Linked DNA regions of Bombyx mori. The protein of the gene in region 2 binds, or shares a complex with, the protein of the main gene of each other region. Links are inferred from orthologs where the notes say so. Each region holds a gene or a part of one and is shown on either strand. Other genes may lie near its edges.

Region 1 (4,120 bases), on a different chromosome or scaffold from region 2:
AACACAAAGGTTTACACAACTTTGACGACACTCCAACTCTTCAAACGATTAAGAACTGGGTTGCTAAGTTCGAGGAGACCGGTTCGACGTTAGATAAACCGCGGTTGGGTCGCCCAAGGACGTCACGTACGGAACAAAACATAGACACAGTGACACAGTCTATTCGCGAAAATCCGACACAGTCAACTCGTAAGCGCGCCAGAGCATTAAACGTATCCAGGACATCGTTACAACGGATTTTGAAGAAAGATTTACATGCCAGGACGTGGTTTCAACAGGATGGGGCCACTTCTCACACCTCTAACACTGCTATGCCCGTTATCCGTCAACTTTTTCCTGGCAAAGTTATCTCTAAGAGAGGAGACATTTCCTGGCCTCCACGTAGTCGAGATCTGACCCCGATGGATTTTTTTTTGTGGGGCTACCTTAAGGCTAAAGTATACGACACAAACCCGCGGTCGATTGAGGCCCTAAAAGAAAACATCCGCAGAGAAATGACAAGCATTTCAGCAGTGACGTGCCGCGCAGTCATCGACAATTTTAGACGTCGTTTGCAAGAGTGCCGTGTTCGCAACGGATTACATTTAGGAGATGTTATTTTCAAAAAATAATTCCCGTTTTTTAAGCTTTTTATGTAAATAAAAATTTAATTCATAATGTAATTAGTTTTATTTTAATAATTTTTTTTTCATATCAAAGGACTTATGGGCCACCCTGTATTATTCGTGAACTATTCCACGCGGACGAAGTCGCGGGCAAAAGCTAGTACATATATAAATGAATTGCTGTTCGTTAGTCTCGCTAAAGCTCGATAACGGCTGGACCGATTTGGCTAATTTTGGTCTTGAATGATTCGTGGAAGTCCAGAGAAGGTTTGAAAGGTAAATAAATATGAAAATGCTCGGAACTAAATAAAAATAACAATTTTGTTTTTCCTTTGTTGTGTCCCGCGTCGGACGGATTCCTTTTGTTTGTTTTAAGTTTATTTTATACAAAAGTTTAGGTCTTTTATTTATCGATTGAGGCACTACGAAGTCTGCCGGGTCAGCTAGTTAATAATAAATTCACAATTTAATAATACATTGACATTTAATAATAAAAATAATTTGGCCACTATTAAATATGTAGCATATTGAAATCTGGTAACCACTTTACATCGGTTGAGCTCATCAAATGATCTGTGAAATTAACAGAAAACATTATCTATATCAATTAAAACAATTTTCGTTTTTTTTTTTCATTATTTTTGTTTACAAGCCTGAAGCATGTGTAGAAAGCTTGAGAGTGAAGAACTACCCCCACTTAAAAGCAATAGGCAGATCATAACTGCTCCATGCTAGAAGCAGATAGATCATTAATCACCAGTACTTCCAATACCACCAATCTTCATTTTTAGGAACAATTCCAATTCACCCTCGTTAAATACAAATCAGTACTCACACCACCATAATCTTCTAGTTCCTGTATAGTAACATTTATACCAGTTCTAGGATACAGAGAACCAAGTATTGCTGCTTCACATGTCTGTTTCACTATATTCTCTTTGTATCTGTAATAACATGTAATATGATTACAATTCAACAATCGACTGTAACACCTATTTCTTGAAAATATTCCACAATTTAACATCACTTACAGATGTTTCTTTGAGAAACCTTTCATGAAGCATCAACAGAGACTGGTGGAAGACTTATGGGGATCAACCTCAATCACTTTGTTAATGTCTACCCTAACAGAGTCGCAGTGCTTTGCTGAATCTACCATGTCAGAAAAGTGACTCACTTAGAAGATCAAGCAAGAATATCAATAAGTTGTGTATCTGCCATATTGAACTCTGTTGTATCTAGTAATGTTTAAACAATACATTCATTAATGACAACCAAATTTATGTTTTTTGTAGACATATGACCCTCCTAATGGTAAGTGGTTACATTCGCTCACGCCAACGTCAATGTTAGGGGCAAAGCCAAGCAGCTACATGCCATTATGTACTCTCAAAGAAGCCTCGTTTGAAGAAGGACATGTCATAACGCTTGGGAAACACCACAGAGGGTAGTTCATTCCAAAACCGAACGGTGGATTTCATCTATTATTATACAAATGACCACTGACAAGCAAATATTGTTATTAAATTAATTTCCAATAGCCATATAGCTCTAATACATTACCTGTTTTCCACGCTCGGTTTCCCATTCTTATTACTGAACAAAACCTCAAGAGTTGACTTATCTATTCGTTGACTGGTCATCTTTATATCTAAAGGTCCATTTACGCTCACCAATGATACAGTATCCCCTGTAAAAATATTTACAAGCTTTGATGAACGATTTTCTGTCCAAGAAGTTTTAATTAACATTGTTGTACTTTTTAAGACGATGAACTTTGAATGTTCGTAAAATCTTACTGTTCTACTTATTTTTTGTAAAAATACTAAATTATTATTTAACATGTTGTACCTAAATTAAGAGTTTCGGTAAAATGACCACAGCTAGATTATAGGGCATAAAACTGTTTTTACCTTGTGATAAAATAGCTGATCCATCAGATTTGCTCAGGAAGTTGAATTCACATTTCATAGGTTTTAATTTAAAATCCTGTACATCCTTCATATCAGTCACCATATTTAATTCGTTCAAATGTTTAAATATATCTTGAAGTAGTACAATGAAACTTGATTGCTAATTGGGTTTCTGATTTTCTAAAATTCAAAGATGATCTTTATTTATTTTAATAACAAGAAAAATATAGAAAACACATAGACCTATATAGTATATATACCTATATAGGTTTCCTACTTCATTGAGAAAACATGTGAGAATGACATTGACAGTAGTATTCGTTTGTTTTTTACAACCAGAAGGGCAAAGCTATTGAAACATACAGCCTAATCTTTTGTAAATTCTATTTTATGAAGACGATATGAAAATGAAATGAAATTAGGTTGATTAATTTCAAACATTAATTAATTGGAATTAAATTAAAACTAAGACTTATTAAGACTATTTCAGTGGACTGTTTGGAAGATCCCGAGGATCAACGTCCGGTGACTTTGTTTTATTTACCTAAATTTATGCACTTTCCCAGATACTAAACAGTTCATAAACATCCATTAGTACATGTTTAAACATGAAGAAACATTAAATTAACAAAATAAAACTATTCTCACAACTTTGCTACTCGCGTTCCCGCCAAAAAGTCCAAAATAGGAGTACATAATTATCTATTTAGGTACATTGTCCTTAGTCTGAGTTTTTTAAAGTTGAGTTGACACAACGCCCTTATCGGCAAGAGTAGGTTCCAACTCATCATAATCTTTCATCTTTAAAAACTGAATCATTATCCCAATTTAGTACTTTTTTCAGTGTGCTCAATATTTTAAGTTTTTTGAAAAAAAATCTCTATCTTCGAGATCTATATATTAATACGTGAAGCAAAAACTGTGTATCCCTTTTTACGAAAATTGCGCGGAAGGAGGAGTATGAAGTTTTCCACACTTATAGAGAATATAGAGAAGAAGTGCACAATGCTAATCTTTTTTAAAATAATGCATAAAAGATACATTAAATCAATAAAGAAAACATTACACACACTACATACCATGTATTTGACGCACACACGCATGCATATTATTTATTGTTAAACTTTTGTTCTTTTTGTTGTCAAATTGAGAATAGATTAAATATTGTTTGTCTTTGTTAATATTTTTTAAAGTGTAGTCTTGGCGAAATTTGTAAAGAAGTATAAAATACAATCATAATAGTGTACTAGTTTAAATAAATGACTCAACTTAACAAGAACAAACACAGGAGAAGTAGCGTTCTGCAGAAAAGCTTTACTAGCACTCTACGAGTTATTAACTTCCACCAGGAAGCCTGATTTTATTGAAGGGAGCTATGTTATGTGTTTACTGGAACAGTCATTACGAAAATCTTGTATTAGCTATTCAAACTCGCCCGATATTTCTTCCCGAGAAGGGTATTTTCATTTTTTTCTTACAACAAGGACTTAGCAGTAGTACAGATCTAAAGTACAAAGAAGAAACCGTTAAACATACTTGTAAATTACCACCAAAAAAGTTACGTTTATTTAATAGGCTTCATAATATATTCTAAAATTTGTG
Region 2 (4,257 bases):
TCGGGTTTCATTAAAATTTCGACCGTCCAAGCGCTGTAATCAATTTATTTCCAAATTACTTTTGTAGAAGAGTCTTAGGTTATATTCTATTAGTTTCAACTTACATGTCCTTGAGATACGATCTTTTGTATGAAATTCTTTTCACAATTCGATAAACAAGTATCACGCATTTTGTTATTGGTTCATATTTTTTTGTGAATATTCTGTTTAAAGAGGCATACCTAGCAATAAATGTGTGATTATTTTTCTTAGGTTATCTGTTAAACTTTTTTTTTAATTCCACTTGTTCAATTAAACAGGCAAAGGGAATATAGCCTAAAGAACTAAACCAAATGAAAGTCACACCTTTAACTGTTTAATTTAAATTAGCTGTGATTAAATTAAAATGACCTGTCATATTGTGAAAATTTATTGAAACTTCAAAGGAATTATTGTGGATTATGGAATTACTCTACAGCAACTGGTGGCGTTTGCTACATATAGAAATGTACTAGGTACTTCCAAAACCTTTTTGGAAGACCTCGAAAAGTCACGTCCACAGATTTTGTTTCACTTTTTATATAGGTACGTTAACAGATACTAAATTTGAAGCGACATCGAACTGTGAAAATGATACAATTCTGATCATGCGCTCTTCGGCTCCTGGTTAATCCAACCTAGATAAGTCTCGACCTCAGATCTTAATTAATACTTAAAACTTCACGAGAACTGCGTATATTTCACGAGGAGCGTAACAACGTTCCGGAGAGATCCGTACTGTGCTACGGCTCGGACAAATGTAAATATTATAAATATTATATAATAATACTTAAAATGTATATATTAAAAATTTTAATTCTATGATTGATAAAAATTACATTTTGTTCGAACTCTAGAGTAGCACAGGAGCTCAAGTAATATCTGGGGCACAGGTGAACAGATAGGCAGGTACGTAAGCGGCTGACACAAACACAAACTATATAGGCACAAGCTAAGATATGAATAACAACACCTGGGATATGGGCAGAGCTCGAAATTCAAATTGTATTCTATAAACATCTTTCAAACCACCAAACCCCATTAATGTTTTACTGCTAAAATAAATAATATAATTATTTTACTTACCAGTGCTCTCTTACATATTCGATGTGAGCTTAATGTCCCAATTAATACGCAAACTACATTTTTTTGCGTAGATAGGTGAACGAGCTCACGGCCCCACAACCAACCCAGGGAACGCCAGTTAACGATCATAGGTCAGTTTGGTATGATACCTACTAAAAAACACTTAACCATTCTCCGTTGAACCATCCTTAGACAACCTTTACAACACCCATGGGATGAGATGGGGCGGTGCTGCTATTCTATGACACCGCACATACACCGATTTTTGAATTGTAATCTTATTTATGTTAAAATGAACTGCGTAATGTAAAGGTAAATAACCACCGTATTAAATTTTCTAATGGTTTTCTAATGTAAATCATAAGGCATTTGACATAGCATTGACAGAACGCGTGCTGCAAATATGGTAAAAGAGGATGTAAAAAAACTGAATATCGTTTAAAACAAATGCTTCGGTCGGAATTAGGTATATTGATAACATAGATACTTAAGAGCATGTAAAGAATGAATTTGACAGTTTACAGAAAATCGTTGTTTTGCGGACCAATGAACGCCACTACATTTAGTTGCCCACTGAGTTTCTCGCCGGATCTTCTCAGCGGGTCGCGTTTTACAACCGGTGCTACCTAGATTCTGCGAAGCACAGCTCTTGCTAGGGCCAGTGTTGGCAACACTCCCGGCTTGAGCACCGTGAGCCCACCTACACCCTACACGTTAGAGTGAAGCTGAAATAGCCTCTAAAGCTATCACATAGATAGGAAAAAAATACATTCGTTGGTTTCCGGAAATGGGCCAGATTTTTGACTCATATCCAGCAAAACAATAACTGCTTTCAAATGACGTTCTTTGGAGCAACAAAAGTTATTCAGGAAAATTTTATGCCAACTTTCAAGGTAAAGTAATATTGATAAACAATGGACTTTTATCAGCACGTGTCTGATGCAAAATACGTTTGCAAGTTCCGATTGAAGCGGCGTATCAATTGAAAGAGCGTAAAGTAAGTTTGAAGCTCTATGAATTGCCAGAGGCAGCCAGAAGTGAGTGTATTTAAAAAAGTTGATATGGTAATGGCAGTGCTCACAAAGTAGTTTGAGAGCCACGTGGTAGAGCATTATGGATTACCCAATACAATATATTACGTCGTTTTCTCAGGTTCAGATTTGTATAAATGAAAATTCAATAAAATCAATAATAAATAAATTGTAGTATCCGAAGCGAAGCGAGGGCAGGTCGCTAGTCGACTATTAAAATCACACAGCTATTGATTTCGAGTAGAAATATTCAGTCTAGCAAACATAAGGAAGATGCTACCTATCGCAATCTATCTATAGCTAATTTCTGAGTTTATACTGGTCACTATTTTCGGCACATTCTGTTAGGAGTAATGTAAAATTCGGAGAAATTGATTTAGTTGATCCACTGCATGGGAGATCTTCGGCATGATCTTGTACTATCCGCTCTTCGTTGCCCTATGTAGCTTTTTATTGAGTTATTACCTCGTCACGAAATATATCTATATATGCAAAATATCCTATGTCCTGGATGACTATACATACAAATCACAGGTTTCTGCTCGCGTGGTATACGGATCCTTTAGAATGTAGACCTAAGTTTACGGAGAGGCTTTGGTTATGTATTTTTTACCACGCGACCAGCTTTGGAAAACACACCTCACTACACCCAAGAGAAATAAAAAAATGAAAACACGTACAACTCGTACAGTGAGTGCCTTTTATAGAATCACTTACTCCGCGGACCACGGAATAGATAAATAAGGTTATATATAAATATATAAATAACCTTATTTATTATTATATATTTATATATAACCTTATATATAAATATATAATATTTATATATAAGGTTATATATAAAAATATTATATTTATATATATATTTATATATATATATAAATATTATATATTTATATATATATAAATATATAATATTTATATATATAAATATTATATATTTATATTTATATATATATAATATTTATATATATAAATATATATAAATATATATATATATAAATAAGGTTATAAATAAGGTTATATATAACCTTATTTATATATAAATAAGGTTGTATATAAATATATAAATAACCTTATTTATCTATTCCGTGCCGCGGACAATCCAACTCAAGGGTAAAAAACTCTTCTCCACAATATTCTCCGTTAGCATATAGAATTGTTATGTCCATAAGCTACAGTAGCCCTTTTTGCGAGGTGCTCCTTGTACAATCGTGCTATAATTTGACATAACAAAAAAAAAAAAAAACAAAAAAAAATCTTATATATTACATAAACTAACAACCTAGTTTTATATGTAGGTACCTACCACAAATGTGATCACATATGACTATCACCCTAGTAATCAGTTATGCCGACATGCCATTAATGTACTATTGATCATTTTGTAAGAACGAAAACATGAAAGCTTTATGTGGATGATACCTTATAAAAAAACTATATTATTTTGTATTTTGATTGAAGAACCTTTATAGGATGATTTTAGTATTGAAATTTTCTAGTTGCGGCTTTAAGCAGGTGGCCTCTTTGAATTAAAATCGAATCTGCATGGACAATATTCCATTATTGTTTTTTCAAACAAAAACGTTTATATTTTTAATATTGTTGAATTTCTGTATTTTATATAATCTTGTAGCACTAAAAATTGTTAAATTGTTAAAGTAAAAGCTTTTTTAATTTTTTTAATCGCTTAGGTGGGTGGACGAGCTCACAGCCCACCTGATGTTAAGTGGTTACTGGAGCCCATAGACATCTACAAAGTAAATGCGCCACCCACCTTGAGATGTAAGTTCTAAGGTCTCAGTATAGTTACAATGTCTACTCCACCCTTGAAACCGAAACGCATTACTGCTTCACGGCAGAAATAGGCAGGGCAGTGGCACCTACCCGTGCGGACTCACAAGAGGTCCTAGTACCTATATGTATATGCTTTGCTACGGCGTTACAAAAGAAGGCAACCTTATTTACTACTTTGTTAACGACTTACAAAAATGATGTACTGGAAACTTCACAAACCATAGTATTTGCACCAAATTGGCTCGATAAAAAAACGATCGAGTTTTATTTATCTATGAGATCAATTACTGCAGTACCGCTGCAACAGTATTACTCGGAAATCTAA

What was found.
Region 1: exosome complex component RRP45 (region 2) and exosome complex component RRP46 share a complex: the UniProt entries of both Homo sapiens proteins name them as parts of the RNA exosome core complex. The link is inferred for Bombyx mori from reciprocal best matches to the Homo sapiens genes EXOSC9 and EXOSC5.

Annotation. Positions count from the first base shown.
Region 1 is NC_085131.1:1,264,060-1,268,179, reverse strand, and holds the start of exosome complex component RRP46, read right to left. Parts: upstream 2,817-4,120; 5' UTR 2,779-2,816; intron 2,773-2,778; exon of another isoform or gene 2,699-2,772; 5' UTR 2,622-2,698; coding exon 2,519-2,621; intron 2,296-2,518; coding exon 2,169-2,295; intron 1,550-2,168; coding exon 1,441-1,549; intron 1-1,440. UniProt on the Homo sapiens protein: Non-catalytic component of the RNA exosome complex which has 3'->5' exoribonuclease activity and participates in a multitude of cellular RNA processing and degradation events.
Region 2 is NC_085119.1:13,155,628-13,159,884, forward strand, and holds the start of exosome complex component RRP45, read right to left. Parts: upstream 2,812-4,257; 5' UTR 2,775-2,811; intron 2,696-2,774; 5' UTR 2,661-2,695; intron 1,569-2,660; exon of another isoform or gene 1,500-1,568; 5' UTR 1,105-1,499; intron 928-1,104; exon of another isoform or gene 876-927; intron 779-875; exon of another isoform or gene 688-778; intron 565-687; exon of another isoform or gene 334-564; intron 222-333; 5' UTR 171-221; coding exon 105-170; intron 34-104; coding exon 1-33. UniProt on the Homo sapiens protein: Non-catalytic component of the RNA exosome complex which has 3'->5' exoribonuclease activity and participates in a multitude of cellular RNA processing and degradation events.